Linked DNA regions of Mus musculus. The protein of the gene in region 2 interacts with the protein of the main gene of each other region in a biochemical or structural test. Links are inferred from orthologs where the notes say so. Each region holds a gene or a part of one and is shown on either strand. Other genes may lie near its edges.

The links.
Region 1: of the proteins of Srpk2 (region 2) and Mapt, one has a biochemical effect on the other in vitro, tested with the Homo sapiens proteins (2 studies listed by BioGRID, with this or other methods). The link is inferred for Mus musculus from reciprocal best matches to the Homo sapiens genes SRPK2 and MAPT.
Region 3: of the proteins of Srpk2 (region 2) and Luc7l, one has a biochemical effect on the other in vitro, tested with the Homo sapiens proteins (2 studies listed by BioGRID and IntAct). The link is inferred for Mus musculus from reciprocal best matches to the Homo sapiens genes SRPK2 and LUC7L.
Region 4: of the proteins of Srpk2 (region 2) and Rbm15, one has a biochemical effect on the other in vitro, tested with the Homo sapiens proteins (2 studies listed by BioGRID and IntAct). The link is inferred for Mus musculus from reciprocal best matches to the Homo sapiens genes SRPK2 and RBM15.
Region 5: of the proteins of Srpk2 (region 2) and Prpf38a, one has a biochemical effect on the other in vitro, tested with the Homo sapiens proteins (2 studies listed by BioGRID and IntAct). The link is inferred for Mus musculus from reciprocal best matches to the Homo sapiens genes SRPK2 and PRPF38A.

Annotation. Positions count from the first base shown.
Region 1 is NC_000077.6:104,229,930-104,234,244, reverse strand, and holds the start of Mapt (microtubule-associated protein tau), read right to left. Parts: upstream 2,810-4,315; 5' UTR 2,638-2,809; intron 1-2,637. UniProt on the Homo sapiens protein: Promotes microtubule assembly and stability, and might be involved in the establishment and maintenance of neuronal polarity.
Region 2 is NC_000071.6:23,515,456-23,518,970, forward strand, and holds part of Srpk2 (SRSF protein kinase 2), read right to left. Parts: intron 3,265-3,515; coding exon 3,164-3,264; intron 3,069-3,163; coding exon 2,961-3,068; intron 1-2,960. UniProt on the Homo sapiens protein: Serine/arginine-rich protein-specific kinase which specifically phosphorylates its substrates at serine residues located in regions rich in arginine/serine dipeptides, known as RS domains and is involved in the phosphorylation of SR splicing factors and the regulation of splicing.
Region 3 is NC_000083.6:26,276,902-26,280,416, forward strand, and holds part of Luc7l (putative RNA-binding protein Luc7-like 1), read left to right. Parts: intron 1-644; coding exon 645-733; intron 734-2,431; coding exon 2,432-2,461; intron 2,462-3,059; coding exon 3,060-3,227; coding exon of another isoform or gene 3,228-3,231; exon of another isoform or gene 3,232-3,515. UniProt on the Homo sapiens protein: May bind to RNA via its Arg/Ser-rich domain.
Region 4 is NC_000069.6:107,330,482-107,334,743, reverse strand, and holds the start of Rbm15 (RNA-binding protein 15), read left to right. Parts: upstream 1-1,454; 5' UTR 1,455-1,663; coding exon 1,664-4,262. UniProt on the Homo sapiens protein: RNA-binding protein that acts as a key regulator of N6-methyladenosine (m6A) methylation of RNAs, thereby regulating different processes, such as hematopoietic cell homeostasis, alternative splicing of mRNAs and X chromosome inactivation mediated by Xist RNA.
Region 5 is NC_000070.6:108,576,537-108,580,654, reverse strand, and holds the start of Prpf38a (pre-mRNA-splicing factor 38A), read left to right. Parts: upstream 1-1,318; 5' UTR 1,319-1,540; coding exon 1,541-1,670; intron 1,671-3,566; coding exon 3,567-3,726; intron 3,727-4,118. UniProt on the Homo sapiens protein: Involved in pre-mRNA splicing as a component of the spliceosome.

The DNA.
Region 1 (4,315 bases), on a different chromosome or scaffold from region 2:
CGGGCCTTGGCCAGCACAGTACCTCACTCGACCCCTCAACACAGTGCAAAATGGGAGTTCGAAGACGCTGTGATCTGAGCTTTGTTTCTGCACTGGGTAAAACGTTCTGTCTCCTCCCCCTCCCGCTGATTTTTCCGCTGTGACACCTTTGCCCAACGGGCCCGCTATAGTCAGCCCCCCCTCCCAGCCTTCCCCTTTCCGCATCCAGCCCAAGAGCCTGGCTTCTTCTAGCTTAAGAATCCTGTTCCCAGCAGCCCGTCGTGTGGCGAGGGATGGGTAGTATTTGAACCTATCTTTCAGATGCTCGCGAAATTTCTGCCAGGCGGGCCCGGCCACGATGCCACAGCCTCAGGCCGCGGTTTGATCGGGAGAGGGCGTTCCACCCCCAGCCTACATCAATCTGAGTGAGCAGTCGACGTGGGCAATTCGGCCCTTAAGAAGCTCATCCATCGGTCTCAAAACTGCTTACCCGCACCAGTATTCAGCGGTAAAATTAACCAGAAAACCTCGAAGACCGAGCTTACTGTACGGTGGGGAGGCTGGGACCTCTTAGCTTTCTATCCCTCTCTGGTTTCAAGGGCTGTTGTAGATGTGGATTTTTTTAAAAATGAAAGTCCCTCATTTAAATGATATTAATAAAATAATATCAGTCAGCACGCTTATAATAAAATACATTAGAGGCATCTCTCTCTCTCTCTCTCTGGATGGCTATGGTTGCCAGTGCCAAGAGAATGATGCTCGCATCAGGGATGAGGGGCCCCTTCCTCGTGTCTTCCAGGCACTATCAGACTACCCCAGGATTCTAAATCTCCGCGGAGTAAGGGGGGGGGTGGGAGGTAGGGGGTGGGAGGTAGGGGGTGAGGTAACGCCCAGAGGTTCCTCCTCTGGCTGGTGTGGTTCCTATGGCAACCCTTAACCCTCTCTCCTTGGGTTGGGAGGGATGGGTGTGGCCGCAGTATCCCAGGGGATCTCATACCCTCTCCTCACACTCTCCCACCGGGAGAGGCAACAGGGTTCAACGGTGGTGGTGGTGGTGGGGATGCGGAGTTGAGCTTGCCGAATCTCCCCATTCCCGAGGGTTATCTGGCTCCCCTAGCAGTGAAACACAAGTGGGGTGTGGTCCTCAGGATGGCCTGGGTGTGGGGAGGGATGTGCTTCCTCTGAGGGCTCCTGCACACGAGAGTCTATCTCGAATCCCACCCATGTGGCTCTGGGTCGAACTGGGGAGTGGGCTGCCGCAAGTCTGTAGATCCAACAAAGGGTCTGAAAAGAGTGGCGAAAAAAGGATGGAGCTGCTCCGAGTGCGTAGGCAAATATCCTCGTCGAATGAAAGCTTCCCGCCTCCCCCCGCACACTCCCCCAAAAAACCAGGGCTGGGAGCGCAGATCCTAAATCACACGACGAACAAAGCAGCGAGCTCCCCTAGACGACCTCAGGTGAACGCTCTGGTGCGCACCGCTGCAGAGGCAAAACGCCAAGGCTTCCGTGTTCATCACCCCCTGTTCTTTAACATGGGTCCAAGCCGGGTCCTCCAAAGCCTGGCCACAGCTCTTGGCATGCTACGATAGAGACGTGACTCGCCGCAAAAAGATGGCACCTCGCGTTCAGAGAGGGGGGAAAAAACGGAGAGGGGTGGCAGCGGGAGGAGACACATCGTACTCCCCCCTCCTCGCCCACCCAGGTCCACACCCACTGCCGCAGTGAGGGGCGAGCCCTGCGCGCCAGCCCGCGCCTCCGGCAGGGAGCGCACATGCCGGGAGCCCGGCGCAGAACGCAGAGAAAGAAACGCGCCCCGAAATGCACCTGCAGCCCTCGCGTGGGTCTGTGCCTGGCTGCAACGCTGCGCGCCCTCGAGCGGGGAGCCGCTGCCAGCCAGCCCGCTGACACCGCGAGGCCAGGTGACCCCTGACTCTTCGAGCTCCCACATTGGGATCCGCGCACTACCTTCTCTCGGGCACGGCGCTGCCCCTGTCACTGTACCAAGCGCGCGCAGGGGGAAGGGCGACTAACGTGACAGCGCCTGGACCCCTCCCCATCCTCCGGATTCCTCCCAGCCCCCAAATGTCCCCTGCCGGCTTCTGAAGGAGGAAAAGGGGAGGGGGCGGGCCACCGCCTTAAATCAGGGCCAGTGAAGGCCGTGTCAGAATCGCTGTCAGGGAGGTGGAGAGACATGAAGGCAGTCATCTTTTCTAGAACCCGATCCACACCTTCCTTAGGGCTGATGGCAATCAGGAGCAGAGAAATCCGATTTCAGGTTCTGTTTCGGGGGTCGTCGTTGGACCCCCATGCACACTCACAGACCCACGCCCATTGCGGCAAAAGGCTGAGATCCAGATTACAGAACAACCCCTTCCCTAGGTCACCGTCATCCGCGCCCCACCCTGCGGGCACAGCCCCCCTCATTTGCGCGGAGCCGATAGTGGGGACCCCAGCACTCATAGATACACGCATTCGCTCGCGTGCGTGCATCTCTTGCACGCGTTCCTTCCCAGCTCCCCAGCGCCTAGGGCGCAGAGAGGCCCCCGCCGTTGCGCCTGATTGATGCCCAGCTCCCTAAATCCATCTCTGGGGCGAGGGGTGGCAGGAGGACGGCGCACAGGGCCAGAGGGGACTGGATTTCAGAGCTGCGGCGCTTACCTGATAATCGACAGAAGGCGAGGACAGAAGAGGACAGCGGAGGAGAAGGTGGTTGTGGCGGCGGCGGCAGAAGGTGGGCGGTGGCGGCGGCGCTGCTGCTGGTGCTGGAGCTGGTGGGTGGCGGAGACTGAGAGCGCGCGCGGCCGAGAAAGCGCGTTCTGGAGGCCGGCGGGCAGCGCAGGCGCGAGCCACGGGAGCGCGAACCTCCCTAGGGGAGGGGCGGGCAGCGAGGCCTGGGCGGGCACCTCCCCTTCCGACCGCTAGGGGGCGCACGCGAGCGCCCCTCAACCCTCCTCTCTCCGCGCCGCTCGGCTCGCCCCTCTCCGCGCTTCCCTCCCCGGGTCCCGCCACGCCTCGGGCCGCGGTGCTGACCGCCGCGCGCACGCGCATTCCGTGGCGCACGCGCACCCGGCCTCCCGGGGCTGCAGCCTTTGTCTAGTCCAGGGGTCCCCTCCCTCGGTCCCCGCGGGGTCCAGGCAGAGCGGTGTGTCGGTCATCGTCCGCTTTTCAGTTCACCCTCGCTGGCTCTCCAGGCGGTACACCGTGAACCCCAAGTGCTACAGGCTCCCCGAGTCTCCTAAAATGTGGCCCTCCAGATAGAGCGCACTTTCTATTTCCAGGGCCAGCTGTTCGCTTGCTTTCTTTCCACCTGTTTTTGTTAATGGCCAAAGTGAATGATTTCCTTGACAAATCTTCTCGAAACAGATTAACTTGACCGTAATACACTTTAGCGTTTTCGTGGAAAAACAATTGTTTTTAAATCAAGGAGCATTCAAACCCATTAGGTATCTTGACTGTGACCCTAGCGAAGAAAAATCTTTAAATAGGTAAGTTCTAATGATGCTTACCACACACACTGCAAGGCATTTTCACAGAGTTATTTTTATCTCGTTTATTGAAACACCTTTGTACAGCGTGAGAGCTGAATTTTTAAGGTGCCTGCTGGAGATGGCCACCTGCTGGATGTCAAGCTTCCGGTTGAAATTGGTCATTAGTTCTCCTTCCAGCTACGTAGGCGTGGGCTGTGGCTTTAGCTTAATATCTTACCTCCCCAAAGCTCAATTCTCTTGGACAGCTGGAGCCTGTTCAAATGCAAGGAAGAGAGACAGGCACCTACTTCTTGCCAAAGAGGCGAAAACTTGTCTTGAAGCTTTCATTTGCATGCCGTTTTTTCTTTATTTTTCAAGGCAGGTTCTCACTATGTTGCCCTGGCTGGCTTGGAGCTCACAGAGATCCCCTGCCTGCCTCTGCCTCTAGAGTGCTGAGATTAAAGGTGTGCACTGCTATCCCAGCAGTTGTTTCTAAAACTCCAACGTTGTACCTGCTCGGTGTGTTGGCTCACATCTGTAATCCCAGCATTCAGATAGGCTGAGACTTGTTCAAGATCAGCCTGGGCTATATAGCAGAATCCAAGCCAGCCTGAATTGTATTACAGGGTGAAAGTGAGTCAACAAACAAACAAACAAACACACTTCTGGGCTGGGGGGGTGGATGGTTGTGAGCCACCATGTGGTTGCTGGGATCTGAACTCAGGACCTTCAGAAGAGCAGTCAGTGCTCTTAACCCCTGAGCCACCTCTCCAGCCCCCAAAATAAAATTTTGAGATAACTTTGGGTTCAGTTTTCTAGCACCACAAACATTTTTTCCCATATGAGCTTAATTACTGAATTATTCTGGA
Region 2 (3,515 bases):
GGTTTCCCACTCCTGCTGAAGAGGCATCACTGAGTGCCGCCCTGGCATTAGTCTTCTCTTTCCTCCTCTTAACGGCCAGGCCAGAGTGTGAGAACACGCCTTGAGAGGCATTTACTGGGAAGCAGCTCTCTTTAACTAACAGGGCAGTCATATCCTTTATTTTTAAAGATATGATGGGTACTTACATGTGTTGGAGAAAAACAACACAGCAAAACTGTGATCAGCTGCCTATGTGATGATTATAAAATCAGGGCCCCTGTCCTAAAGCAGACTTGGGTCTGACAGAGCACAGCATCTCAGCAGAAGACAGCCTGACCACCCAGCACTGTAGATGCAACAAGGCACCCCAGGTTGGGACTCTCTACTAGCTACCCAAGTAACATTTAATAGCCAGTTAACACGTAATCGTAGAAGCTGGACCAATCTCTGATAATGGAAAGACAAATCTGGCTCAAATTCCAAGTAGATGAGAATGTTTTGTGTCTGTAAAACAATTCAATAATCTGCAAGCCAAGAGGCATATCTGGAATCCCTGATAGGATGAAAGAGAAGTTGGGCGCAACAGAGGCTCGGTTCCAAGGATAGCCTGGCTGTGTGCTCGCCCCTCTTTAGTCTTGTGTTCATCCTTCTCATTACAGCTACTTCTCATTGTTCTACAGTGAAATCATCAGATATGTGTTCTTTCAAAGATAATTATTTTGAACAGCACTTGGGTTTCCAATGTAGTGTTTAAAAAAGGCTATCAATGAAACTATTTGTAAAAAAAAGAATGAAGGGGGCTGGAGAGATGACTCAGCAGTTAAAAGCACTCACTGAGTGCTGAGAGGTCCTGAGTTCAATTCCCAGCAACCACATGGTGTCTCACAACCATCTGTAATGGTATCTGATGCCCTCTTTTGGTGTGTCTGAAGACAGAGACAGTGTACTGACATAAAATAATTAAATCCTGAAAGAAAGAAAGAAAGAAAGAAAGAAAGAAAGAAAGAAAGAAAGAAAGAAAGAAAGGAAGGAAGGAAGGAAGGAAGGAAGGAAGGAAGGAAGGAAGGAAGGAAGGAAGGAAGGAAGGAAGGAAAGAAAGAAAGAAAGAAAGAAAGAAAGAAAGAAAGAAAGAAAGAAAGAAAGAAAGAAAGAAAGAAAGAAAGAAAGAAAGAAAGAAAAGAAAGAAAGAAAGAAAGAAAAGAAAGAAAGAAAGAAAGAAAGAAAGAAAGAAAGAAAGAAAGAAAGAAAGAAAGAAAGAAAGGGAAAGGAAAGAAAAGAGAGAGAGAGGGAGGGAGGGAGGGAGGGAGGGAAGAGAAAGAGAAAGAGAGAGAAAGAGAAAGAAAGAGAAAGAGAATGAGAAAGAGAAGAAAGAAGAAAGCAGAGAGAGAAAGAGAGAGGAAGGAAGGGGAGGAGGGAGGGAGAGGGGGGAGGCCTTGAACCGGAGCCCTTTCATTTAGATATCCAAAGAAAAATTCTATACAAATTAATACAAGATCTGAAGATGTGACTCAATTGGAAAAACACTTGCCTGGTGAACCTCTGGGTTCTGCCCTACAACTACAATAAAATAAAGAAAGACCAAGTCGAATAACTATGGCAGCAGCAGAAGCTACGTGCACACACATGCCACCTTTTCCATCAAAGAACAACAGAACCCACTGAGAAGAATGTGCTCAGCTGGCTGCTATTCACAGTGAAGACCCCTGGGACTGGCTCTGGAGTGTGAGGCTACTCATGCTTACCAATTCACAGTTTAGCAGAGATGACAAGAAGATGCACTAAGCCGGGTATAATGGCCATGCCTGTAATCTCAGCACTCAGGAGGCTGAGTTTCAAGACCAGCTTGGGCTACATTTCAAAAAAGAAACAAATAAAAAGACTGGGCTGAAAGATGGCTCAGGGCAGTGTCTGCCATGGAAGCCTGTGAGTCTGATCTGAAGAACTCATATAAGAAGGTAAGGGACAGACTGCAGCACATGCTTGCAAAATCAGCACTGGAAAGGCAGAGATACAAAGGGATGTTCCTCCTCCTGCTGTCTGTCAGGAAAGCACCACTAATGATCCTCGAAAAACAGACTCAAGCCGGGCTATGGTGGCACACGCCTTTAATCCCAACACTTGGGAGGCAGAGGCAGGCAGATTTCTGAGTTCGAGGCCAGCCTGGTCTATAGAGTGAGTTCCAGGACAGCCAGGGCTACACAGGGAAACCCTGTCTCGGAAAAAAGAAAAAAGAGAGGGGAGGGGGGGAGGGAGGGAGGGGAAGGAAGGGAGGGGAGGGAAGGGAGGGAGGGGAAGGGAAGGGAGGGAGGGGAAGGGAGGGAGGGGAAGGGAGGGAGGAAAGAAAAGAAAAGAAAAGAAAAGAAAAGAAAAGAAAAGAAAAGAAAAGAAAAGAAAAGAAAAGAAAAGAAAAGAAAAGAAAAGAAAAGAAAAGAAAAGAAAAGAAAAGAAAAGAAAACCAGATTCAAGCCCAGGAAGCTTGTGTCCCCACTGTTGTCTCAGCAGTGCTGGCACACGCTGCAAAAGCAGCCAGCACACTGTGACTGCGCTGGATGGAGGCAACTGTGCATGGGCAGATGGAGAAATCCCTTCTAAGTAGGAAGGAGAACAGAGAGCCTGCACATGTAACGGCCACATGACAGTGCTGCTAAGTGACAAGTGCTGCCACCCTCTCCTGGGAGAAGGCATCTGATTTTACCCCATGGTGTGACAAGGAGCCTAAAACACCCACACGTTTCCAGAGACTAAAGGTAACTCCTCAGATGGATCTCACTCTTGGGACAATGGTCTGCACAGGGCCTGAAGAGACCATGTCTCACAAGACATACATACCGGAGAATTCTCCCAATGCTTAAAGACCCAGGCACATTTTCCTCTTCTCACCCATTTTAAAGTGAAGGATGATCTCTAACAAGACGCCACCTCATTGAGAGCATTAAGGAGAAGCCATTTCTAGAGAAGAGAGTGGCAAAGGCCGTTCTTACCATGCAAGCTGTACTCCAAATGTCTGCAGGTGTGCTGTAGCCTGCTCCTATTAAAACCTCTATGGACCTATACTGACGTGTCTGGATATCCTCTGTGAAATGTTTATGCTGGAAAGGAATAGATGTGATAAATATTAAAAAAAAACAAAAGCATCTTCGCACACTAAATAACAATTAAAATGTAAAAAGAAAACACTACTTACCACCCAACAAGCATTTCCCAGGTCAGCAATTTTTACTCTAATTTTATCTGCATTCCGTGGATCCAGAGGGTTCACCAACAGGTCAGCCGCCCGGGTTTTTGCTGCCATGAGCAAAGAACAAAAGAATCAGCACTGGGGTCATGAGGTTTGCATGTGTGAGCACAATGCTTGCCAGGTAGAATGATTGGACAGAAAAGAATCCTGCACCTGGGATCATTCCTCCTGGGTTGTATCCAGCTCACTGGAAGCCACAGAAAGATAAGCAAGGGTGACCAATCACTTCTAAGCAGTTGGCTTGATGCCATCTGAGCAGCAGCTTGAGGCTGACAGCAACCCTATTCCAGCTTCCTCA
Region 3 (3,515 bases), on a different chromosome or scaffold from region 2:
AGAAGAGGGCAACAGATCCCTAGGAGTTAGAGCCAGTTTTTACTCACATGTGGGCTCTAAAGTTCTAGGTCCCATGGCAGAGCAGCTTACCTGCTGAACTGTCTGTTCAGTCCCATTCTTTCCTTTGTGTTCTCACTGTCCTCTCATCCTCCCTCCCTCAGCATTATTGGTGTGTGTAGAGGTTCTTGACACATTCAAGCTAACTTAAGTTGATGCTGATTTGGTGGTAGAGGTTCTCAGAGCCTCCTGCTTCTGTTGCATATAGGATCAAGCTTGATGAATTGTGCTGATATTATCATAGCACACACCAAATCAAAAGGGAGCTGTTTTCTGGGTACCTACATCTCTACTCCCAACAGCAGGGTGCTATTGCTTTTGGTCTGAGTTAAGTTTCTTTAACTAACATTTCTTACTACAAAGCTTATGGAGAGGCTGTAGGAGGAACAGTTTATGGCTTGGTTTGAAACATTGTGATTTAAGCCCTGTGTCTTAGAAGTTCAGCCCCTTTTCTGTAATTTGTCACCAAATGTAGAAAATGATGGTTAATTTTTTTTTCATGTGTTCTGTTAGCTTTTAACTGAGTAGAATATTGTTTCCTAAAAGCTGTTGCTTCTCCTTATTTTCCCATTTTTTCATTTATTTAGAAAACTGTGGCTGAAAAACAGGAAAAAAGAAATCAGGATCGATTGAGGAGAAGAGAGGAGAGAGAGCGAGAAGAGCGCCTGGGCAGGAGGTAAGCATGGGGGCTAGCCTTAGGAAACTGCTGTTGCTGTTTTGTGACTTGGAGCCATCAGTGTTTGAAACATATAAAAGCATGCATTTATTTATTTTGAAGCAGGGTCTTACTAATGTAATCCGGACTGGCCTAGAATTTACAGATATGTGCCTGCTTTTGCTTTCCAAGGGCTGAGATTAGGGTATATGCCATCACACCTGGCTCCAGTGTAGCCTTTAAAAGCAAAACCTATGACATATTCACTGTGGTGAGGTGCAACACTGACTGATTGGAACTAGGGAAGGAGGAGCTGACAAGGGTCCCCTCTCCCTTTTCCTCTTACCCCCTCTGTCCGTGTGTCCCTCTCTACCCCCTACAGTTGCCCTGTATAGCTCCAGCTGTCCTGGGACTTGTTCTGTAGACCCCTGGCTGCCCTCAAACTCAGATCCACTTGACTCTGCCTCCTAAGGACTGGGATTAAAGGTCTGTCCCACTGCTACCCAGCCATCTTTTAACCTCACCCAGACAGCTCCTCTGACAGCTGGCCATGGAGCCCTTATCAAATAGGGAAGGCAAAAGTGGATCTACTAATGGTAGCTAAGCAGCAGTCTCATGGCAGTGCCTTGAAGGGAAATCATCAGCTTTGGACTTGAGGGTGGAAGCTTTGTATGGCTGTCTTTTTTCTTTTTAATTGGTTATGTGGGATCACTGGACAGACTCCCATAAAATATGTGGTTGGAATATGTTCTTGCCCATTGAGAAGCAAAATGTAAGGTGTTTGGCAAAAGCCTCCACACCAGTGAGGCACTAACGGGAGTTAAGAGGCAGGAAGAGTGTGGGTGATAAGGTCTGGGGTAGGCGGTCTGGAGTAGAACTGACTGGACTTGGTGACTGTTTAGGAAGGAATGAAGTTGGCCTCACGGTTTCTTTTCTTCTTGGTCTTTTGATACAGTGTTTTTCTGTATATCCCATGCTATTGTGGAACTAGCCTTGTAGATCAGGGATCTGATTGTCTCTGCTTCTCCATGCTGGGATTAAAGCATGTATTATCATGCCTACCTGGCCTTTCTGGTTTCTTTTTTTTTTTTTTTTTTTTTTGGTTTTTCAAGACAGGGTTTCTCTGTATAGCCCTGGCTGTCCTGGAACTCACTTTGTAGACCAAGCTGGCCTTGAACTCAGAAATCCGCCTGCCTCTGCCTCCCGAGTGCTGGGATTAAAGGCGTGCGCCACCACGCCCGGCTTGCCTTTCTGGTTTCTGATCTGGAGTTGTTCCTTACCTAGAACAGGGAGGGTGGAACCAGGAATAGGAGTTAGAATTTGCTGTATTCAGCCGGGCGTGGTGGCGCACACCTTTAATCCAGAGGCAGGCGGATTTCTGAGTTCGAGGCCAGCCTAGTCTGCAAAGTGAGCTCCAGGACAGCCAGAGCTATACAGAGAAACCCTGTCTCGAAAAAACAAAAACAAAACCAAAACAAACAAACAAACAAAAAAAAACAACAAAAAAAAGAATTTGGCTGTATTCAATTTGAGATGCCTGAGAAGTACTCCGATAAATATTTGGGATTAATTTCAAAGAAAAGATCAGAGCCAGACTCATCTATGCACTCTTGAAGCATCTCACTAAGTTGCCTTAGCTGGCTTCAGATTCACGGAGATCCATTTGCCTTTGTCTCTTAGATGGATTAACATTTTTCATCTATTTATCTTTCTGTTTAGGTCTGGATCAAGAACCCGAGATCGCAGAAGGTAGGTTTCAAGATCTATCACAGGGCTCTCAGGTTGAGTGCCTTTTTCTGTAAAAACATTTAACTGATGTTCACAGCCTCACAAGACTGTTTTGTGAAGAGTATAGATGTTAGGGTTTAGCACAGTAGAAAGATACCACGTGGACTCCCATGCTCTCACACATACGCTGCCACTGCTGGGGTGAGGGGAGACCCCGTTGAAGAGCAACTAGGAATGTCCAAGTCCTTTTTTGTTTTTGGGTTGGTGGTGGTTGGTTTTGTTTTTTGAGATGGGGTTTCTCTGTATAACTTGGCTGTCCTGGAATTCTTATTGAAGAGGCTGGCCTTGAATTTAGAGATCCTCCTGTTTCTGCCTCCCAAGTGCTGATATTAAAGGCATATGCCACCTTACCTGGCCAAGACCTATGTTTTCAAGAAACATTCAGGGGAAAGATACGGCCTTCCGATTAATTCAGGGGACTTTCACTTCCAAATTGTACATTGTAGGAGGAAAAAGGAATCCCAAGAACCCTGAAGGCCAATAGATGCTGAGAGTTGAGGAACGAGGGTGGTTTGATCCCAGTGACATCTTAGCTTTCAAAATCATCTGGGTTTTCCAGGTCACGCTCCCGGGATCGTCGACGGAGGCGGTCTAGGTCTACCTCCAGAGAGCGGCGGAAGTTTTCCCGTTCCAGATCCCGAGATAGATACAGGCGCCATCGCAGCCGTTCCCGGAGCCACAGCCGGGGTCACCGCCGGGCTTCCAGGGACCGGAGTACAAAATACAAGTAACTACTCTGACTCCTCAGTAACTTCAACCAGGAGTGAGCCCTTTGTCTCTGTGTTCCCAAGATCTGCTAAGATCTGTCATCCTTGCCTTTTGGCCATTACATCTGGTAGGGACAAGGTTGGGCTTGTGGGGATGCAGGTTCTGGGTGACTAGCACCCAGTGTTGGTGCCCCGAGGAATAGAGAGCGGCACCAGTACAACACTTGGCTGGGATGGGGCAGGGCAGTGAGCTCTCTCACATGGCTCCGCTTTGCTGGGCTTTACCTACTTTAACTTGGTAAAAAGCA
Region 4 (4,262 bases), on a different chromosome or scaffold from region 2:
CTTCAAGTAGCTTATAAATTTAGAATTCAAGTTTTGGGGAAGGGCATTCTTATCACCTTGTAAAATGTCCTGTTTTAAAACACATTCTCTACTCAGTCTTAGAAGATGTAAATACCAAAATCTTTCTCATCTCTCCTAGGTACATTTTTGGGAAGACTGCAAAAAGCCTATTTCCTCTCACCAGGAGGTAAACGCTAGTGGGATAGACTACGCATCTAATCTCATGATCACCAGTATTACATAAGCTTAAGAGATTCAGGTGCATGGGGTCGCAGAGGTGGGAGACGGGAGGCGTTTAGACGGGAATCACGGTTAAAGGAGTCAAAGGAAGTGGATATAGGAGGGAGCAAGGTGGCCATGTTACTGGGTCCTACTATGGATTAATCGGAGTGCTGGAGTCCTAGAAACGAGATAAATGTAGTGTCCGCACAGTGAGAAGTGTGACACATTAAAGCAAAGCACAGCTATATTATGTCTCACACATCTTTTATAAATGCAAACCTTACAGGGATTCACAACATAAAGCAGGAAGCAAAAATCTGCAAGTGGTCCTGCAGGTCGGACCAGTAAGTGGGCTTGCAGGACACTGCGGGCCCTAAGGCGGCCACTGAGACTGGCCAGGGCTCCGCGGCGCTGTTCCCTGTGTCCGCGGGCGGGCAGTGACTCGGTACCGCCCAGGGCGTCAGCGTGACCCGAGGCTCTGTGAACCCTGAACTCACCGCCCCAGCGGGCCGCACAGACCGGGGCAGGCGTTTTCTCGCGCACGGGGGTGGGGCTTTTTCAGGCAGCTAACTAAGATGGTGTCGGCTGGACTGTCCGGGACAGCTGCCTAGGCGGATCGAGTGAGGGCCAGCAGCCGGAAGGACCACCGAGCCCATTGTCCCGCCCAGACAGGACAGTGAGGAGCCCGCAAGTTCCAGACTCGAAGGACCGAAGCACAGGCAAGTACGCCGTAAGGACCTAACAAATGTTTAAGAGAACGCCGAAAGCGCGGGGAGGCGGGCCTGACTCACTGTCACCATCTCGCGACAGCAAAGTGACGTCGCACAGCAAGCGCGTGGTCTTAGTCTTTCACCTTCAGACGCCTCAGTTTATGGGCCTACTCCTTTAAGTGAGTGATGGACAGCGCTTTTATCCAATCATGTTCCTCGTCAACATCCAATCAGATTTAAACTTTCTTCAGCCGCCGGAGAAGTTGGAAGACTGGGGTCGAAAGAGAGCGAGCGAGTGAGCGAGTGAGCGAGCGAGCTCTTTGTCTCTCGCGAGATCGGAGAGAGCCAAATTCTCAGGAAAAAACGCCTGAACTGATGTCCAGACTTCCCGATAGTGATTTAAAAGACGTGGCCACAAACCAATGAAAGGGAAGAGAAGGTGGGATCGCTGCGTTCGCCGTGCTAGAAGTACCGTTACAGGGCAGAGTTTTTGTCCAATCAACGCTTCTAGGCTTTGGGTCAGGTGACCATGAAGTGCGAGGGGCGGAGCTACAGCCTGGCGCGAGGAACCGTTAAGATAGACAACGAATATAACCAATGAGGTACTGGGATTAGGGCGTTGGGAACCCAATAACAGCGTCGGGGCGGGCGCCTTCCCGGAGCGCGGGGAGATGTAAAGACGGACAAATAGTTTTTCCAATGAGAAGGCTGAAGAGTGAATTAATTGACCAATGAGGTCTGCGGGGCGGGAGCCTTTGCCGCGGCGGAGTCCAAGATGGCGGCGTGCGAGTCCGCTGTGTGAAACGAGCGCGGGGTGGCGGGTTAGTCAGCTCCGCAGAGACGACCTCCGGCGACCCTCAACAATGAAAGGAAAGGAGCGCTCGCCGGTCAAGCCCAAGCGCTCCCGTGGCGGTGAGGACTCCAGTTCTCGTGGGGAGCGGAGCAAGAAGTTAGGGGGCTCCGGCGGCAGCAATGGGAGCAGCAGCGGGAAGACGGACAGCGGCGGGTCGCGGCGGAGCCTTCATCTGGACAAGTCCAGCAGCCGGGGCGGCAGCCGCGAGTACGAGACCGGCGGGGGCAGCTCCAGTAGCCGCTTGCACAGTTACAGCTCCCCGAGCACCAAAAATTCCTCAGGCGGGGGCGAGTCGCGCAGCAGCTCCCGGGGTGGAGGCGGGGAGTCACGTTCCTCCGGGGCCGCCTCCTCCGCGCCCGGCGGCGGGGACGGCGTGGAGTACAAGACCCTGAAGATCAGCGAGCTGGGGTCCCAGCTGAGCGACGAGGCGGTGGAGGACGGGCTGTTTCACGAGTTCAAACGCTTCGGTGATGTAAGTGTCAAAATCAGTCACCTCTCAGGTTCTGGCAGCGGGGATGAGCGGGTAGCCTTTGTGAACTTCCGGAGGCCAGAGGACGCGAGGGCGGCCAAGCATGCCAGAGGCCGCCTGGTGCTCTATGACCGGCCTCTGAAGATAGAAGCCGTGTACGTGAGCCGGCGCCGCAGCCGCTCCCCGTTAGACAAAGATGCTTACGCCCCGTCATCCAGCGTGGTCGGGACCTCAGTCGGTAGCCACCGGCACGCCCCTGGAGGAGGGGGAGGTCAGAGGTCGCTTTCCCCTGGAGGTGCTGCTCTGGGATACAGAGACTACCGGTTGCAGCAGTTGGCCCTGGGCCGCCTGCCTCCTCCACCCCCGCCACCATTGCCCCGAGAGCTGGAAAGAGAACGAGACTATCCGTTCTATGACCGGGTGCGCCCGGCCTACAGCCTGGAGCCGAGGGTGGGAGCTGGAGCAGGTGCGGCTCCTTTCCGAGAAGTGGATGAGATATCACCTGAGGACGATCAGCGTGCCAACCGGACACTTTTCTTGGGCAACTTAGATATCACTGTGACGGAAAATGATCTCAGAAGGGCTTTTGATCGTTTTGGAGTCATCACAGAAGTGGACATTAAGAGGCCTTCTCGAGGCCAGACCAGTACCTATGGCTTTCTCAAATTTGAGAATCTAGACATGTCTCACAGGGCCAAACTTGCAATGTCTGGCAAAATTATAATTCGGAATCCAATCAAGATTGGTTATGGTAAAGCCACACCCACTACCCGACTTTGGGTGGGTGGTCTGGGACCCTGGGTGCCTCTTGCTGCCCTGGCACGAGAATTTGACCGATTTGGCACCATTCGAACCATAGACTACCGTAAAGGTGACAGTTGGGCATATATACAGTATGAAAGTTTGGATGCAGCTCATGCTGCCTGGACCCATATGCGTGGATTCCCACTTGGTGGCCCAGATCGTCGCCTCAGGGTAGACTTTGCAGACACAGAACATCGTTACCAGCAGCAATATCTTCAGCCTCTGCCCTTGACCCACTATGAACTAGTGACGGATACTTTTGGACATAGAGCACCTGACCCTTTGAGGAGTGCTCGGGACAGGACACCACCCTTACTATACAGAGATCGTGATAGGGACCTTTATACTGATTCTGACTGGGTGCCACCCCCACCACCGGTTCGAGAACGCAGTGCTCGGGCTGCAACTAGTGCTGTCACTGCTTATGAGCCACTAGATAGCTTGGATCGAAGGAGGGATGGCTGGTCACTGGACAGGGACAGAGGTGATCGGGACTTGCCCAGCAGCAGGGACCAGCCAAGGAAGCGAAGGCTGCCTGAGGAAAGTGGAGGACGGCATCTTGATAGATCACCTGAGAGTGAACGGCCTCGAAAACAGCGTCACTGCACTCCTTCTCCTGACCGAAGTCCAGAACTGAGCAGTAACAGAGATCGCTACAACAGTGACAATGATCGATCATCTCGTCTTCTCCTCTTGGAAAGGTCTTCCCCAGTCAGAGATAGACGGGGCAGTTTGGAGAAGAGCCAGAGCGACAAGCGAGACCGTAAAAACTCTGCATCAGCTGAACGGGATAGGAAGCATCGGACAGCTGCTCCCACAGAGGGAAAAAACCCTCTGAAAAAGGAAGACCGATCTGATGGCAATGCACCCAGTGCCAGCACTTCTTCATCAAAGCAGAAGCCACCTTCCCAGAAACAGGATGGAGGGACAGCTCCTGTGGCAGCATCCTCTCCCAAACTCTGTTTGGCTTGGCAGGGCATGCTTCTACTGAAGAACAGCAACTTCCCTTCCAACATGCATCTGTTGCAGGGTGACCTCCAAGTTGCTAGCAGTCTACTTGTGGAGGGCTCAACTGGAGGCAAAGTGGCCCAACTCAAGATCACTCAGCGGCTCCGTTTGGACCAACCCAAGTTGGATGAAGTAACTCGACGCATCAAAGTGGCAGGGCCTAATGGTTATGCCATTCTCCTGGCTGTACCTGGAA
Region 5 (4,118 bases), on a different chromosome or scaffold from region 2:
CAGTAATATATACAGCTTCCCAATCAGAGTGGCAGGTCCACCGGACCCATTTCCTAATCCACAAAATGGAAAAATAGTATCTCTTTTTATTCAACCAATATTATTTGAGGCCTGTGTGCTAAGCACTGTTCTAAGATAATCAGACTAAGAGAAAATACGGTATGATAAACCAATGCCCATCCTACTGTAGCCAACTATTGAAACAATGGATTCCAAGAAGTTTGACTTGTCCCCAGAACTTCATCCTGAAGCCAGAGGAACAACTTGTCTATAGGAAGGATTAGCAACAACAGTCTGGAGGAGCCTCTCAGGAGAGGGGGCTGAGATGTGTGTCTATAAGTGTTCCAGGACAAACGGGGCTACAGAGAGAAACTCTGTTTTGAACCCCCCTCCCGCACCTTCCCCAATCTAATTCTGAAAAAACAGGGTGTGGTGGTGCATGCCATTAATTCTAGGGCCTGAGGCAGAGGCAGTCTCTAAATTCGAGACCAGCCTGGTTCTGAGCAAGCTACAGGACAGCCGGCTCTACACAGAAAAATGTCTAAAAACCATTACAGTAGAAAATAATTACGATTATTCGACTTCTATGGAAAACTAAAAAGACCTCGTGACAGGAATCTCACAGCTCAAAGCTTAGAACTCCCAATTTCTCCAATTGTTAAGAGAAGGCTAGACCCAAGAAAGTAGAATACGAGCCATTAGATGTTTTCTCCAGTGATTGGAGATGAAAGCTCACTTAAGGGCAAGCCATGTGGAGAGGAGACGCCAAAGTCCCAGAAAGTGACTTAGAGAAAGTCTGTCTCTGGGCGGAATCACCAGTAAAGCGGAGAGCAACACCAGCTCCGCGGTTCCAGAGGAAAGGTTGCGAGTGCTTTTCAGAAGCAGTGCACGCGGAGAGCCAAAGCCTTAGGCTCCCCACCGAGGGCCGGCGCCACCCGCTTCTCCGAGGTCTCCTTCAGTGCAGGAAGTGTTCCTGGAGCTCCGGGGAGGCGAGAAGGTTTACAGGCTTGCGAGCGGTGCCGGCACCGACGGCCCTAGGTGCACGTGTATGCAGTCCGTGGACAACGACCCGCACTCACCTCGCCGACGCTTTGCAGTCCAGGCACTGGAGTAGCTGGGGGACGCTCGCTCGTCCAGGTCTGGCTCCTCCGGGAGACCACGGCTACAACACGTAGTCCCAGCTCTCAGCTGACTAAGAACTGAAGGCACAGGAGAAAACTTTTCGCGCCACTAACCGAAACCCCGCCCACAGTGTGATTCTGATTGGCGTTTCGGACACTCGCCACGCCCTCCCGGGGGTTCATGACGTACTTCCGCCAATTTGCTTGGGCCCTCTCTGGTGCGGGGTGTGCGTATTCCGGCGAAAGAGTTCTACGCCACAGCTTCCGGTACGAAGCTGGTGGCTTTCCGCGGTCGCAAGGGATTCCTTAATGTTTCCCTAGCCTCCGGTAGTCCTTTTTTTTTTTTCCCTTCTTTTAAATAAATACTGAATGTGACGTATTAAGCAAGCCGACGGAAATAGAATTGAAAGAGTTCTAAAATGGCGAACCGTACAGTGAAGGATGCCCACAGCATCCATGGCACCAACCCTCAGTATCTGGTGGAGAAGATCATCCGGACGCGAATCTATGAATCAAAGTACTGGAAAGAAGAGTGTTTTGGACTTACAGGTGAGCGACAGCGCGCAGCCCGCGTCTCGGCTTACGGGTGGTTTCTTCTGTCTGAGTGAGGAAGGACGGACCCTTTGGGGGTGATACTGGAAGAGTATGTCAACTATTCATATAAACTGCTCTGTGCCTGGACTTGTACTAGACGGGACACAGACAAATCTGACACGATCTTTTTCTCTTTTCTCTTTTTTCTTTTCCGTTTTCCGAGACAGGGTTTCTCTGTAATAGCCCTGGCTGTCCTGGAGAACTGCTGGCTTCGAACTGCCTCTGTCTCCCGAGTGCTGGAATTCAAGGAATACACCAGCACCGCAGGGCTCACCGGTCTTTCCTTCTTTCTTTCTTTCTTTCTTTCTTTCTTTCTTTGGGGGGGGGGGGGGGTGGGCTCCGAGACAGGGTTTCTCTGTAGCCCTGGCTGTCCTATGTCCTGGAACTCACTTTGTAGACCAGGCTGTCCTCGAACTCGAACTCAGAAATCCGCCTGCCTCTGCCTCTGCCTCCCAAGTGCTGGGATTAAAGGCGTGCGCCACCACGTCCTGCTTGACCGGTCTTTCTTTTTTTTGTTTTGTTTTTCGAGACAGGGTTTCTCTATAGCCCTTGCTGTCCTGGAACTCACTTTGTAGACCAGGCTGGCCTCGAACTCAGAAATCCACCTGCCTCTGCCTTCGAGTGCTGGGATTAAAGGTGTGCGCCACTACACCCGGCTTGACCGGTCTTTCTTGATGCTGAAGGATTTCTTTAGTTTTTTTTTTTTTTTTTTGAGCCATTCCATTTTTTTAAATTAATTAATTTATTTGTTTATTTATTTATTGATAGTCTGCTGGGTCCTAGATTGTTTATCTCAGGGACCAGATAAGGGTTCCTTTAATGCAGCTTGAAGATGTTCAAGGAACTTCACCATTCCTATAATAAAATTCTTGCTGTTCTTAAATGGGTCAGTAGTTTCATTTTTGACCTGCTTCCCCTAGTCCTTTAGGTTTCTGTTTTGTTTTGGGGTTTTTTTGTTGTTGTTTTTTTCCCCTGAGACAGGGGGCCTTGGATGGCCTGGAACTCTCTTGAACACACAGAGATTCATCTGCCTTCCCCTTCTGGTCCCTAGGATTAAAGGCATGAGCCACCTCGCTGGCTCCTAAGTTTTTTAGAGTGGCTCTCTGTCAGCTGTCGTAGCTTTGTTCAGCTTCACCTGGTGTGACTCTGGCTGTGGTTCTTGAGCATGTAAAATCACTTAAGCTCTTTTTTGTTCTCATTATCCTTAGCTGGAAGCCAGGACAATGATTATTTGTTTTTTTGTTTTGTTTTAGACAGGGTTTCTCTGTGTAGTCCTGGCCCTGGCTGTCCAGGAACTCACTCTGTAGACCAGGCTGGCCCTGAACTCACAGAGATGTGCCTGCCTCTGTCTCCCGAGTTCCGGCATTAAAGTTGTACACCACCCCAGACCAGCATCTGGTAGTAATAAGAGGACTTTTCCCTCATAATTTGTTGTATAAAGATTGAGGACTCATGAGTCCCACCCTTCCTTGATGGACTAAACAATTAATGGAGACTGGGACGAGGGGTCTGTCTCTCTCTGTAGTGCTGTAGTTCCAGGCATATGTAGCCCTGGCTGTTCTAAAACTCACTCTGCAGACTAGGCTGCCTCAGACCCAGAGATCTGCTTACCTCTGCCTCCTGAGTGCTGGGACTGAGCAATCATCACCATGCTCAGGGTTTTTTGTTTTTTTCCTTTTTAAGGCTGTTATTAATAAGCTCTTGTTCTCTTAATATTAAATTCTTATTGACTATTTAGGAACTCTAAACCTTTAGCTATTTAACCTTCCAACCAAGAAAAACTAAGGCCAAGAAAAACTAAAGCCTTTAATATGTCTAAGATGTATGTCACTTTGTTTTTGGCTGTTTCAGCTGAACTTGTAGTGGACAAAGCCATGGAGTTAAAGTTCGTTGGTGGTGTGTATGGTGGAAACATAAAGCCAACTCCTTTTTTGTGTTTAACCTTGAAAATGCTTCAGATTCAACCTGAGAAGGATATCATTGTTGAGTTCATAAAAAATGAAGATTTCAAGTGAGTATGTTAACAAGTACAACACTTCTAGTGGTTCAGAATTGGCTTTGTTAATAGGACTGTTGTGTTTCATTTCCACACGCTTTTGCCCTTGAACTTGTATTTTGTTTGCTGTGGTAACATAGACCTAACTCCCCCTTCCCCCAAACAGATTTCACAAATTAAATAAGTATACACACATAGTATTTGTACATATGCATACATACACACATACACACAGATTCTCATCAAAGCCATATGTTGGTAGCCATCAGATGTGGGAGTCATACAACATAAGATGTTAGTTGAAAGGTTAGTTCTGTATCTTATTTAGACTTTGTTACCTATTGACTGTGACCCCATAGAATTTCTTTAATTATTTAAAGCCTATCAATGTAGGGTAAACGTAATTA